Linked DNA regions of Arabidopsis thaliana. The protein of the gene in region 2 interacts with the protein of the main gene of each other region in a pairwise test. Each region holds a gene or a part of one and is shown on either strand. Other genes may lie near its edges.

Region 1 (4,894 bases), on a different chromosome or scaffold from region 2:
TCTTCTTTTCTTAAAGAGTGTTTAGCCAAAACTTTACTCACCTGTCTCTAATATTAGCTGTGCTTTTTGGGGTTCTCTCAGGGTTACACCATATGGACCTGACTACATGTACTCACAGTCTCAGGTAGGCGCTTGAAATTATTGCAGTTCCTTCTTACCTTCTTTATGCATTTTAAACTGTTGTGGCTTTAGTTATAAACTCATGTCTTCTCTTCATGGTGTTGTAGGGTTTCTATGGTCCTTACATGGGTCAACAGTACCTTCAGGTTTATGGAGTACCTGGGGCAGTTAACTCACCGGGTTATCAATATGGGCAACTGAGCCATACTATTCCTGGTGCTCACGGTTATACAGCGGGTCAAGGTTATTCACATCCAGGAAGTCATGTTCTACAGCTTGGTGCCACTTCACCTATGTCTGCTATTCAATCTCCATACCCTTCTCCTTCAGCTCCAACGCACCAACGTGTCATCGTCCAGACTCCTCCTCAGTATATACAGAGTAGCGGTTCTGATCAGACAACAGGGTGATCAACGTAAGCAAATTCTTGGATTCTTTTTTGATGGTCCAAATTGGATTGAAGTTCGTACACACTTACACGACCTCATTGTTATTTATCGGTTTTCAGTTAGTAATCCTTAAAGATTGCAGAAAAGGGAAGAAGTCCAGGACAAATGCTACTCTGGCAGGCTTCCTGTTTAAGCTTAGCACATTATTTATTTTCGCATTCTAGAGGTAAGCTTGTTTCCTTAGGTGCCCTTTTAAGTTTCAGTACTTGCAAATGTTTTCGATCTCACCTCATTACCGTCGTTACAGGTATTAAGTAGTCTTGCTCACTGAAGAAGTCAAAAAAGGGGGAAAGGAGAATGGAAGTTTCAGGGTTTGTGCTTCTGTTATCTTTAACCCTCTCATCCTATGTATATAGCCCACAACAAGCTTGATGGCATAAACTATATGAATAGTTTCACCCCGGAAACAAGGGTTTTCGCGGTAAACTGGTAGGAATAAGTTTGGTGTACAAAGAAAGTTCATATATATATAAACACATACATAAATGCATATAGAATGGTGGAATCAACATCTGATTCTTTTGGGTGGTAAAAGTAGTCTTCTTACTACACACTCTCTTAAGGCATATGAGTGTTGGTAATATTACTAGGTAGATTCTCACGTCCTCTTGAGTCAAGTCCTCTGCATTGTAAGTAAAAAATTAATGACTATGGAGCTCACTTCAGCTTCTTTGTCTGTGCATAAATTTTAGCTCCAGGATTCTTCTCTTTTCTATGTCTGTACAGTTTCTAGACTGATAAATTGTTCTTCTCAATTGTTTCTGTCTATGACTCCTATCTTCTACTCTGATTCCTCTGTTTATACTCCATTTATCACTTCGTTTACCACTTGCTTTCAAGATGATAGATTCGAGTTTTTAGTTAAATTCATCGTCATTTAAACCATTTTTAAAGAGTCCAATTTTTGGGGGTGGATGTAATTACGTTTCCTTCTTTGATCCATCAAAGTAAAAATTGATCAACACATAATTAAAAGGATTACATAATGAGGTAGTGGCATAGTAATGATGTTTTGATGTCCGAGAAAACTGATTTAGAGATAGTTTAGTCAGCACAAACAAGATTAATGTTCCCATTTTCCTACAACTTCCTCTCGTTTAAAAGAATAAGCTTTATCAATGAGAATAAGACATACAAAACATTTGGGCCTTATACTTTTTAAAAGGCCCAAAAGTGCTTCAACAAGACGGCACGTGGTGAGCCAGGTGACAAGTGATACCTCCAAATGCGGTTATTTGCGGGACCCACGTGGTAGCCACGTGTAGCAAGCAAAGGACCCCCATCCTCTTTTGCATTTTTCTCCTTACACCAAACATTTCTTTCTCGCAGAGAAATCTCTCTTCTCTTCACCTCCATCATCCTCCTCAACCCAAAAACATCACGACGAAATTAAAAAAGGTAAAATCTGCCACTGAGAATTTTCTGTCATGCTTAAGCTTCGAATTTCTTCTCGTTTTTTCTCCATGAATGTTGCTTGAATTTTCACAATCGCTGGACTTGTAAGGTTGAAATTGCATAATCCCTATTTATCTTCTGTGGTGGGAACAATGTGGGATCGATTTTTGCTGTAAAAAGTACAAACTGGTTCGTATTCAAGCGTAGTAACCTTTAGATTTAAGGAAAATTGTTGACTTTGAGCTAACTAGTGAAAAATTGTTGGATTGCGATATTTTCTGGGTAAAAATTGGTTTTTTTTTTTTTTTTGTATTGTGAAGAGTATATATGAAGCAGAGTTACTAATCTTTCTCAAAATATCAACATAGTCTTTTCAAATGTAGATTTTGCTGTTAATAAGTGAAGTTTTTAGGGTTTAATTTGAAGATGTTTTCTCCTTAGTAATGATAAGGCAAAACATTATGGAGACTAAAGTCATTGTTAGAAAAGGGTTAAACTTAAGAGATCTAGGGACTAAAATGATGGAGATTTTCAATGCTATGACTAAATTGGCAAATTTGAGACACTTAATTATGTCCTGTAACTATGTTTTTGGAATGTCCTTATTGCTTCCATTTGTGACAATGTTGCCACTTTCATATGTAATGCAGGTTCATTGATATCGAAGATATGAGTCTGTATAGCGACGGATTATCGAGTGATCAGTATTTCTTGGTTAATTTCATCATGAGCAACTACTTGGGTCCTGATGTCTATTCTGATAACCCAAGATGTTCATCTTCTCAAAGATTAGCTAGAGGTTTGCCACCTTACACTTTGATGCACATTGGATCTTCCTCTCTAACTGTTTCCCAGCTACAGAACTTGTACTATAATGTACTCAGAAACGCCAAGTCCAGCCTCCTTCTTCATCCAGACATGATTTATATGTATCTCAAGGGATATCTACCATTGGAACCAAGTGGAAAGTTTCCTCAGTTCACGCATTTTTTCCCGACGAATCTTCACCCGCAGAAAAGGTATTCCCCGAGCCACGAGATTGTGAAAGGAATTGTTGTTATTGATGATCCTGCAGTAGGGTTCATAAACAAGGAAGAACTCCAAAGGTTCAGATGCTTGTCGCGTTTGGACGACCTGAAAATCGATAGAGTCACGTCTTTATCTCCTCGGGTTAATCTGGATGAAAGCCGGGAAACTGAGCAGGACTGTTCAAGAAATGGTGATGCGACAGCTAATGGAGTTGTCACTAACGAGGACTACAATTCATCTGGTGAGCTTCAAGAAACGTGCAAGAGAAAGGAAGGGGAAGACGCGGTTGCTAGTTGCGTAATCAGTGAACCAGAAAGACTTTCGGGAGACATACCAGAAAGCCAGGGAATGAAGCAGGACTGTTCAAGAAACGGAGAATCTGCATTCAGTGGAATTGTCTCTGACCAAGACTACTATTCATTTGTAAAGCTTCCAGAAACATGCAAGCGAAAGAACAAGGAAGAAGAAGCAGTTACTGGTCATGCTGTTAGTGGAACGAGTAAAACCCCTGAAAGATTTCGTGAGACATACAAGAGAAGACGGTTCAAGAACTCATCAAAAAAGGCAACAAACAAGAATGGTGAAACTCTTATGGAAAGAGAAAAAACAGATAAGCCTATACCTTTTTCTTCGGAGATGAAGGAAAGCGATGCAGAACCGTCGGTTGTAACTACTGGAACAGCCAGTAAAGAAACTCTAGGATCATCTGTTGGTGTTGTTGACATTGGTGTCAACAAGGTTGCTTACTTTTTTCAGGTTGCTTTGCCCGGTGTCCGCAAAGATTACGGTATTATTACACTTTGTTGCACATCTAACTACTTCCATACACGCCACATCGGGTCTAAGTGCTAACACATGAATTGGTTTGGTCCTTTTGTGTGCAGGTGAATTCAGCTGTGAGATTGAATCAGATGGAAAGGTTATACTGGAGGGATCAACTACAAGAGGCGAAAAAAATATCAAGAGACATTCTCGGGTGTTCGAGATGAATATCCGGAAGCTGTGTCCGCCTGGACCATTCAAGCTGTGCTTTAACCTCCCGGGACCAGTTGATCCGCGGCTATTCTCTCCTAACTTCCGATCAGATGGTATCTTCGAGGGAGTCATCATCCGACACAAAAACTCTTAATTAAACCGGAGGTTCCTATACAAGTTTAGAACTTAGGATCTATGTAGATCTTTTATCTTTATGTTACTGGACATAGAAGGAAAGCGAATCAAACAGCATGCAAGGATAAATCTTTTACTTTTAGGACGTGACTCTGTAGATTTTGCATGATTTTGCTAAATATCCGTTTTCACAATGATTTCATCAAACTGAGAATCCGTTAATATTGTTTCTGTGTTGGCAGTGTTGCTGTTACTTGTTAGTAGTTACTGTTCTCATTTCTCAATAAGTGATCAAACCGAAACTAAAACAGTACTGAACCGACGGTTTAATTTGGCTAGAAAAATTCAAACAATTATGATGTTGTGCCTTAATGTGACAACATAGATAAAAAGAAGCTCTTACAAACAAACTGACTAAGTCTTCCTCGGAGTCAAAATCATAAGCATATTCCATGCTCATACCAATAAAGTAATGAAAATGACAAAGAGACTTATTAATCGTTATAAAGATCCTTGTTCTGTTTCACTCATCATGAATTCGAAATTTCGATATAACAAACCAAAAGGAAAGAAGCAAAAAAAAAAAAAAAAAGCTCTGGATTCGGAATCTCAGATAAAAAAACCAACGATGCCGATAAAGGTATTGTCGTCGCTTGATGTAGCTCGAACACAATGGTACCATTTCAAAGCGATCATAGTAGCGGGAATGGGTCTATTCACCGACGCATACGATCTTTTCTGCATAGCACCGGTCATGAAAATGATTAGTCATGTTTATTACAACGGTGACT
Region 2 (7,605 bases):
CGTGTTGTCGTTTTTGATACATGTACTTTGTAGTAGAGTAAACCGGACGAACTTCTGAAGAGATGTTTTGTTAATTTTGTAGCGTTCCAATAATTTATGGGCTTTATATGGGAGTGTTAACCGGTCGAAAAAGTACTCCTACCCTTTCAAATAGCTATTAACGCGAAATTTGAAACTACTAGTTAAACTTAACCAAATATGATCCCATAAATATGATATATATACACGGTAAACTAATTAAGAGACTGTTCAGATGGTTTTTGGATGAATCGGTGTATTCAAATTAACACAAACACACACATTTTTCAAAATGGACAGCCTGAAATCATGATTTTTGTTATGATCTCTAATTTCTAACCCAACATGCAACAAACAATAAATGATCAATACCCATTATCCGGTCCAAAGTGTTTTTAACAAACTTAACGTTTTAGATATAATCCAAGGATGTGTGTCAAAATTCACTTATATTGTAATAGACGAAATTAAACTAGATTAAATCACATGTTTGTGTGTTTTAACCATGTTTGATGGCTTCGTTGGGTCCAACATATTCCATTCACAATTAGGATGAAGAAGAATGTCTCAATACAGAAAGCCAAATATAAAGCAAAACACGTGGCTCATGCATTAGCTTCGCAAGCGAGCCGAATTATTTGTTATTGACTTATGTGGATCAAAATTAGCAAATGAGGTCTACCATCTACCCTTTTAAAAAAGAATCGTTTCTTTTTAACCATAGTTAAACCTTAAAAATGAAAAAAGTATCTAGAATTGATCCCCTCTAAATATTTTTTTTTTTAAAAACAAATACTTTCACATAACACAGTCGTTTTCATCGTACTGGTACATGTACTTTTTGGAATTTTCATATATCAAAATCGAATAAGAAGAAACAAAGATTCAGAGCCGTATTCCTATATATAGTTAATACAAAACATGCAATAACTAATCTGTTCACACAACAAAATAGGTTAAAATACGACTTATGTCCATCATCGCATGCACCTATTTGATAGTACAGTATTTGTTATCGTTAAGACACGTAAAGATTCCCCGCGCAAATTACAAAGCATCCAATCCACTTAACAGATATTGATTATACATATTAAGACAAAACCTGTTACAATCGGTGATGACTGAATTTTAAAGGACAAAAACATAAGCTGAAATGATTTAAAACGACAACAGAAGAACAGTTAGAAACCTGGCAATTAAATATGCTAACCTTTTTTTTCATTTTAGTTTGTCTGTTATTTTTGTCAGAACAGTTTTTGTCTGTGGCGAATTTAGTAAAAAAAAACTTTGTCAAGAACTTAAAACCATAGTCATTAATATTGGCTTATAGTGATACGATCGTCATTAACAGGATTAAGAATTTGATAACAGAAGAAAAAAACGACGAATATTTGGGTTTTAATTTGTGTAATTAAACGAATTTAAGTACTCCATATACTATAACTGCTGGTCCGTTGTTATCAGAGAGGAGACAGAATCTTAAGGTGAAAAATGAAGAATGACTTTTTCAGTATAACGAAGGAAAAATAAAATAAAAACACGAAGATGCCTTTTTGGTGACAGCACACAATTTATAGAAAAGAAAAAAAGAAAAAAAACGAGAAGAGAAAGAAATAGCCAATAATAAGTATACACACACTGTGCACAACAAAGTGATAGAGGCAGATTCAGAGAGGTGAAAAAAAGTTCGTCAGAATTTATCTATCTGATGAATTTTGGTTGAGAGATTTAACACCGAATCAGAGGTGGGTTTCTTCCACAATTATAGAAAAAGCTAAAAAGATAGACAAATTGTTGTTCTTTCTGTGTGTGAGATAGAGATCAAGGAGAGAGAGTGTGTGAGTGCAGAGAACGTGAAATGGAATGAAAATGCGTTTCCCACTTGCGGTTGGAGAGGATAAGGGCGACGAAATGAGTCTATTTCAGTGAGAAGAAGCCATTTCTCCGATTTCACAGCTCTGATTTCATTCTGCATGCTGGTAATGTCCTGCATTTCCCAATTTTTGAGCTTTCTTTTTGGATGTAATTAGTCATTATAACATCTCAATTTCATGAAATCTGGTCTATCGTTTTGCTCTAGGCTTCAAAGTTTTGGCCTTTCTAGAAGGATCTCTGATTTTATCTTGTTTTGAATCCGCTTCCGCTTATGGGTATGTGTTTTGGATTAGGATGTCGAGTTCCAAACTTTTGGGTTCTGTGAGTTTATTCATTACTTTATATAATTGCAGGTATCTATCTACAACCTTCCTTTTAAGTTAAGGTGAAGTGGAATATGCAGTTAGTTTGTGGAGATGCTTCCCGGAGCTGAGATTGAGATGTTAGGAGGTGACTGCTTTGAAGGGTCATATGAGGATCATCAGATATTCAGAGAAGTTTTCTTTGGAAGTGATCCTGGAAATACTACTAAAAGATGTCTCGTTACTGGAGCCATTAACTTCGAATGTGATTCCAGTAAGAATGTCAATTCCTCTCTGAGTTCCAACTCTGTGGTAACTAGTGGATATGCATGTCCACAAGGTTTTGAGGCATCTGCTTCAAGAGATGGTTCAGATTTTAACACTAAAGCTAAGAGAGTGAAGCTTTCAGGTAATAAGCATTTGGATGCAAGGGACGAAAAGGGATCTGCTTTGCATGGTTTTCCAACTTCGGACATAGCTAGAGAGACGATACCTCTCCATTTAGTTGAATCATCTAACAAGGGTGTTTCAACTAGCTCATATTTGTTGAAGCACAGCATAGTAAAGGGAAGAGAAGTTTATCTGGGTGGCATTGTGTCTGGAAAGTGTAAGTCACTAAACTTGGACAAATGCGATGGAAAGGAATTTAAAGCTATTGCCTCTCCTGTTTCTCAGGAGAGCTTCGCAACCAGAATGATCTCTGTAGGTGCTTCTACGCCGCATAGTGAGAAGGCTTGCTTCCCGCTACAGTTGAACAACGGATCTAAAGTATCTCCTAATGAGTTAATTATGTCTAAAACCTGCCTAAAGATTGATCCTAAAGAGGACCCCCGTCCTCTTCTCTACAAGTATGTCTGTAAGGTTCTAACTGCTGCCAGATGGAAAATTGAGAAGCGCGAAAGATCAGCAGGTAGGAAACATGTAGACACATTTTACATATCGCCAGAGGGACGGAAATTTCGTGAATTTGGGTCAGCTTGGAAAGCATTGGGTGGGATCCTATTAGCTGATCGTAAGTTAATGGATACTGGTACTAAGAAATGGACTGGTATTAATGACTTCTGGTCCGATCTCTCTCTTACACTGTTGGACATCGAGGAGAACATGAAAAATTTAAATCTTGCTAACACACGGGCACTTTGGTGGAGTGCCTTAGAGCCTTTTGTGGTTGTTGTCTTCATTTCTAAGCAAGTTGGTTCTTTAAGAAAAGGAAATAAAGTTGAAGTTGCAAGGAATTCAAATCCAGACAAGTTGAAGAAAGAAGATACAATTTGTTTGAACCTGATTTCAGGCTGTCCTGAAAGTGTGCTGACAGTATCTGAAGGCAGTCATCTTGTTCATGACGTGGATGCTAACCAAGAGATACATTCAGATCTTGAGGTGCAAACTAAAATTTCCTCTCAAAAAGTTTCTTCAAGACTAGAGAGGCAGAGCATAATTGGTAAGGAAATCTCTGGGACTCATGAGCAGGAGGCTAGCAAGGGCATTGTAGCTTCAAAATTGATAGCAGAAGACATGCATGAAAGTGTTATGAGAAAGAACTTACACAGAAGATCAAAGAAAATATCCGATATCAAACCAGCTTCCTTGGACCAACATGATTCACTAGATTCTAATTCTCTCAATAGCTTTGAATTCCAGGATAAAGAGATGGGCAACATTCACCTCGTCTCAAAGGGAAGTCGGGATGAAAGGTTGAGGAATGAGAAGATGAATAATTCATGTTGCAATTCAAAGAAAGGAAGAAAGAAAGCTAGGAAGCACTATACTCAAGATGATGACCTTATGGGGTCGACAATAACCAGAAACAAAGGTAAGTTCAGCAGATCAAGCCAGAAAAAGAAAACACAGAAGCCAAAGGCTAGAACAAAGAAAAGAAACAATAGGGGAGGGTGCAGGTTGCTTCCCCGAAGCTCAAGCAATGTGGAAAATCATTTTTTTCAAGGAAATTGGTCTATTTTGGGTCCTAGAACTGTCTTATCATGGTTGATAGCTACCAAAGTAATTTCTAGAGACGAAGTAATCCAGTTACGAGATCCAGATGATGATACTGTGGTAAAAACAGGCCTGGTAACTAAAGATGGAGTGGTTTGTACATGTTGCAACAAGACTGTGTCACTTTCTGAATTCAAGAACCATGCTGGATTTAACCAGAACTGTCCATGTCTGAATCTTTTCATGGGGTCAGGAAAGCCTTTCGCTTCATGTCAGCTGGAAGCTTGGTCTGCTGAGTATAAGGCGCGAAGAAATGGATGGAGATTAGAGAAAGCCTCTGATGATGATCCAAATGATGATTCTTGTGGAGTTTGTGGTGATGGGGGTGAGCTGATCTGCTGTGATAATTGTCCATCTACCTTCCATCAGGCGTGCTTATCAATGCAGGTATTGTCTGACTCATTCCAGGGTATATTTACATTTTAACTATTATTTATCCCGGTAATTAACTCTTTGCAAAACATACACATGGGTGAAACTTCTTGGCTGATTCTGTGATTCTTACTAATTCAACTCTAGTAACTTACACGGCATTAGTATAACTAGGATATTTTACCTTAAATTGGTACCCTCTAAAGAGAGTTGCTGTATTGCTTTTGCTTTTTCTACCCAGGTGCTCCCTGAAGGAAGTTGGTATTGCTCGAGCTGCACATGTTGGATATGCAGCGAGTTGGTTAGTGATAATGCTGAACGCTCTCAGGACTTTAAATGTTCCCAGTGTGCGCATAAATGTAATCATCTTACAGCTCGCAATCTCTTAGAAACTATGATTTATTTCTTTATCACATGAAAGGAAACCCCTGATTTGAATTCTCTTCTATCATGTCTCACTGAGATTTTATCACGATTGATGTCACTGTTCATCAGTAACAGTTGTAGATGGTGGTTTTCTGCCAGGCTCAGCACTTCTCCAATTTTCTTTCTTTAGTAATTGACACTTTGTAAAACTCACTTTTGGAGTTATGCCTCTCGCGACAGTTGGATCCCACATTAGTTATTTTGGTATGAAATCCACTTTGGCTGATGATTGTTACCTTTATGTTATCAGATCATGGAACATGTTTGCAAGGGATAAGTAAACGCAGAAAGCTTTTTCCAGAGACCTACTTTTGTGGTAAAAATTGCGAGAAGGTATTAATCATACCTAGTCACTGTGACTTAAACAACTAATGGGTAGTTTTTAAATTTACATTGAGAATAATAGTATATTTTTCGCTGCTCTTGGGCTCTTTGACATATAAACAAAGAAGATGTTAGCATGTTACAGCTGCTTCACAACTTTCAAGGTTCTCATTAAGTAGCTCGTGTAATGCAGGTGTACAATGGTCTTAGTTCTCGTGTTGGGATCATTAACCCTAATGCTGATGGTCTGTCTTGGTCAATTCTTAAATGTTTTCAAGAAGATGGAATGGTTCATTCTGCCCGAAGGTTGGCGCTGAAGGCTGAATGCAACTCGAAATTAGCTGTTGCCCTATCAATTATGGAGGAAAGCTTTCTGTCTATGGTAGATCCAAGAACTGGTATTGACATGATACCTCATGTGCTATACAACTGGGGGTAACGTCCTTTTGTCATTAGCTTGCACACTTAGATTTCTGTTTGTTACTTCTGTACCTTCAGTTCTGCTCTTCATTTTCATCGCTTTGTCTTACCTTTTTTGAATCTTTGTTGCACTTAAAGGTCAACATTTGCTCGGTTAGACTTTGATGGGTTTTACACAGTGGTTGTGGAAAAGGATGATGTGATGATCTCAGTAGCATCTATCAGGTTAGTATGAAGAAACTCGAATTCATGCTGAAAAAACAGTAATCTCATGGCTATCAAAGTGTTTGGTATGTCTTCTAGAACCTCCAGGCAATGAAACAAAATTTGACACTATCACCAAATGGATGCTTAGAACTATTCTTTCACTTCCATCCACTGGAACGAGTTACATATAAACCCCATTTTACTATATCCAGGGTGCACGGAGTAACTATTGCAGAGATGCCTCTTGTAGCTACGTGCAGCAAATATCGCCGACAGGGCATGTGTAGAATCCTCGTGGCTGCCATTGAAGAGGTACGATATTTAGAATGTAACCATGTGGTTGTTCTTGAAGCTACATCCACATTAATAATGTCTAAACTTAGTACAATGATAGACATACAGCACCGCTCATATGCTGACCTTGATAATCCCTTAGCTCATATGATCTCTCTTCCAGTCTTGTCTTGATCCCTGGGCTATCAATAGATAAAACTATTCATTGGTTTTGGCTGCAGATGCTTATGTCTCTCAAAGTGGAGAAGCTTGTGGTAGCTGCATTGCCGAGTTTAGTGGAAACTTGGACTGAAGGTTTTGGCTTCAAACCCATGGATGATGAAGAGCGTGATGCTCTCAAAAGAATAAACTTGATGGTATTCCCTGGGACAACTCTGCTCAAGAAAACACTATACGAGAGCACAAAACCCAGCACTATGAAAGGTAAAGCCAACTCCTCTCTCCCTCTCTCTCGAACGAACTTCATTTGATTTTTGCTCCTGTACAGGTGTATGTCTTTCTAAAGAACGCAATAACCCATCAAACAAAGAAGCAGATCTAGAGCCAGGTCTAGACAAAGCCGGGTCTCCCATGAGTACCCAAGTTGAGAGCTGTGATCAGATGGTTCCAGCAGGTTCAGATGATGAGCCATCCCCAGGCTTCCCCGTACCACTCGGAGCCGATCAAACAGAACCAACTTCAGAAACAGAGAACCCAAGCCGAGACAGCAATGCCAATGATAGGCCAAATAAAACAACAGTAGTCTCTATAGGAGAAGAAGAAGAAGAAGAATGTTTGCAGAAAGATGTATCAAAGTTATCAGAAGAAGGAAAAGAAACGACAAGGGCTTCTTCTTCCTCTGCAGCTTTAGAAGAAGTTAGTGGTCTAGGACTAGGAGTAGTAAATAATGTTAGCGATGAGATGTTGCTTTGTGTTGATGAACAGCTTGACTCTGATAGCTCTCAGGATTCGGAATAATATTATTAGACTAAAAAACTATGATCGTTTCTTTCTCTATATCCTCTCGTCACTTTTTTTTTTTTGAAAGAAAACCCTACTAAGATAAGGAAACCGCATAAAAGAGGATTCTATATTTTCATTTTCATTTTCAAGTCTTATCAAGCCTCAAAACCCTAAATACCAAATATCAAAACGCCCATTTTTCCGAACAAATCATGGTTTTTGATGCTGTCAATCCAGACCCCGACAGCTTCGTTTACTATTATCCGATCTATAACGATGAAGGCGATTTTGGCAGAACCCAAAACTTGATGTTCAAGTTTCATTTATGTTACAATCTTGCCCCTGAAGTAAATTCAGATGGAGAAGATGAAAATCCTCTCGATCTTGAAACTCTACTCGTTGATCGAACTCACGAGTTTGATAAAGGATT

The links. Proteins that work in one complex are often made in the same cells at the same time.
Region 1: the proteins of ROS4 (region 2) and AT1G20870 interact in a two-hybrid assay, tested with the Arabidopsis thaliana proteins (one study listed by BioGRID).

Annotation. Positions count from the first base shown.
Region 1 is NC_003070.9:7,258,515-7,263,408, reverse strand, and holds AT1G20870 (HSP20-like chaperones superfamily protein), read left to right. Parts: upstream 1-1,928; 5' UTR 1,929-1,967; intron 1,968-2,614; 5' UTR 2,615-2,633; coding exon 2,634-3,780; intron 3,781-3,877; coding exon 3,878-4,122; 3' UTR 4,123-4,386; downstream 4,387-4,894. Other genes in the region: AT1G20880 (RNA-binding (RRM/RBD/RNP motifs) family protein), read left to right, coding at 82-124, 228-530; AT1G20875 (uncharacterized protein), read right to left, coding at 1,728-1,928; PHT1;8 (phosphate transporter 1;8), read left to right, coding at 4,576-4,894. UniProt on the Arabidopsis thaliana protein: Acts as an anti-silencing factor that prevents DNA hypermethylation and gene repression.
Region 2 is NC_003074.8:5,039,516-5,047,120, reverse strand, and holds ROS4 (Acyl-CoA N-acyltransferase with RING/FYVE/PHD-type zinc finger protein), read left to right. Parts: upstream 1-1,595; 5' UTR 1,596-1,792; coding exon of another isoform or gene 1,793-2,011; intron 2,012-2,098; exon of another isoform or gene 2,099-2,168; intron 2,169-2,246; 5' UTR 2,247-2,309; coding exon 2,310-4,577; intron 4,578-4,803; coding exon 4,804-4,921; intron 4,922-5,238; coding exon 5,239-5,321; intron 5,322-5,505; coding exon 5,506-5,747; intron 5,748-5,870; coding exon 5,871-5,957; coding exon of another isoform or gene 5,958-5,967; exon of another isoform or gene 5,968-6,151; coding exon 6,152-6,251; intron 6,252-6,454; coding exon 6,455-6,656; coding exon of another isoform or gene 6,657-6,703; exon of another isoform or gene 6,704-6,720; coding exon 6,721-7,190; 3' UTR 7,191-7,309; downstream 7,310-7,605. Other genes in the region: AT3G14981 (uncharacterized protein), read right to left, coding at 1,793-2,011; AT3G14970 (RING/U-box superfamily protein), read left to right, coding at 7,388-7,605. UniProt on the Arabidopsis thaliana protein: Histone H3 acetyltransferase that binds methylated DNA at chromatin sites lacking histone H3K4 di- or trimethylation and catalyzes H3K18 and H3K23 acetylation. Prevents the transcriptional silencing of transgenes and of some endogenous genes.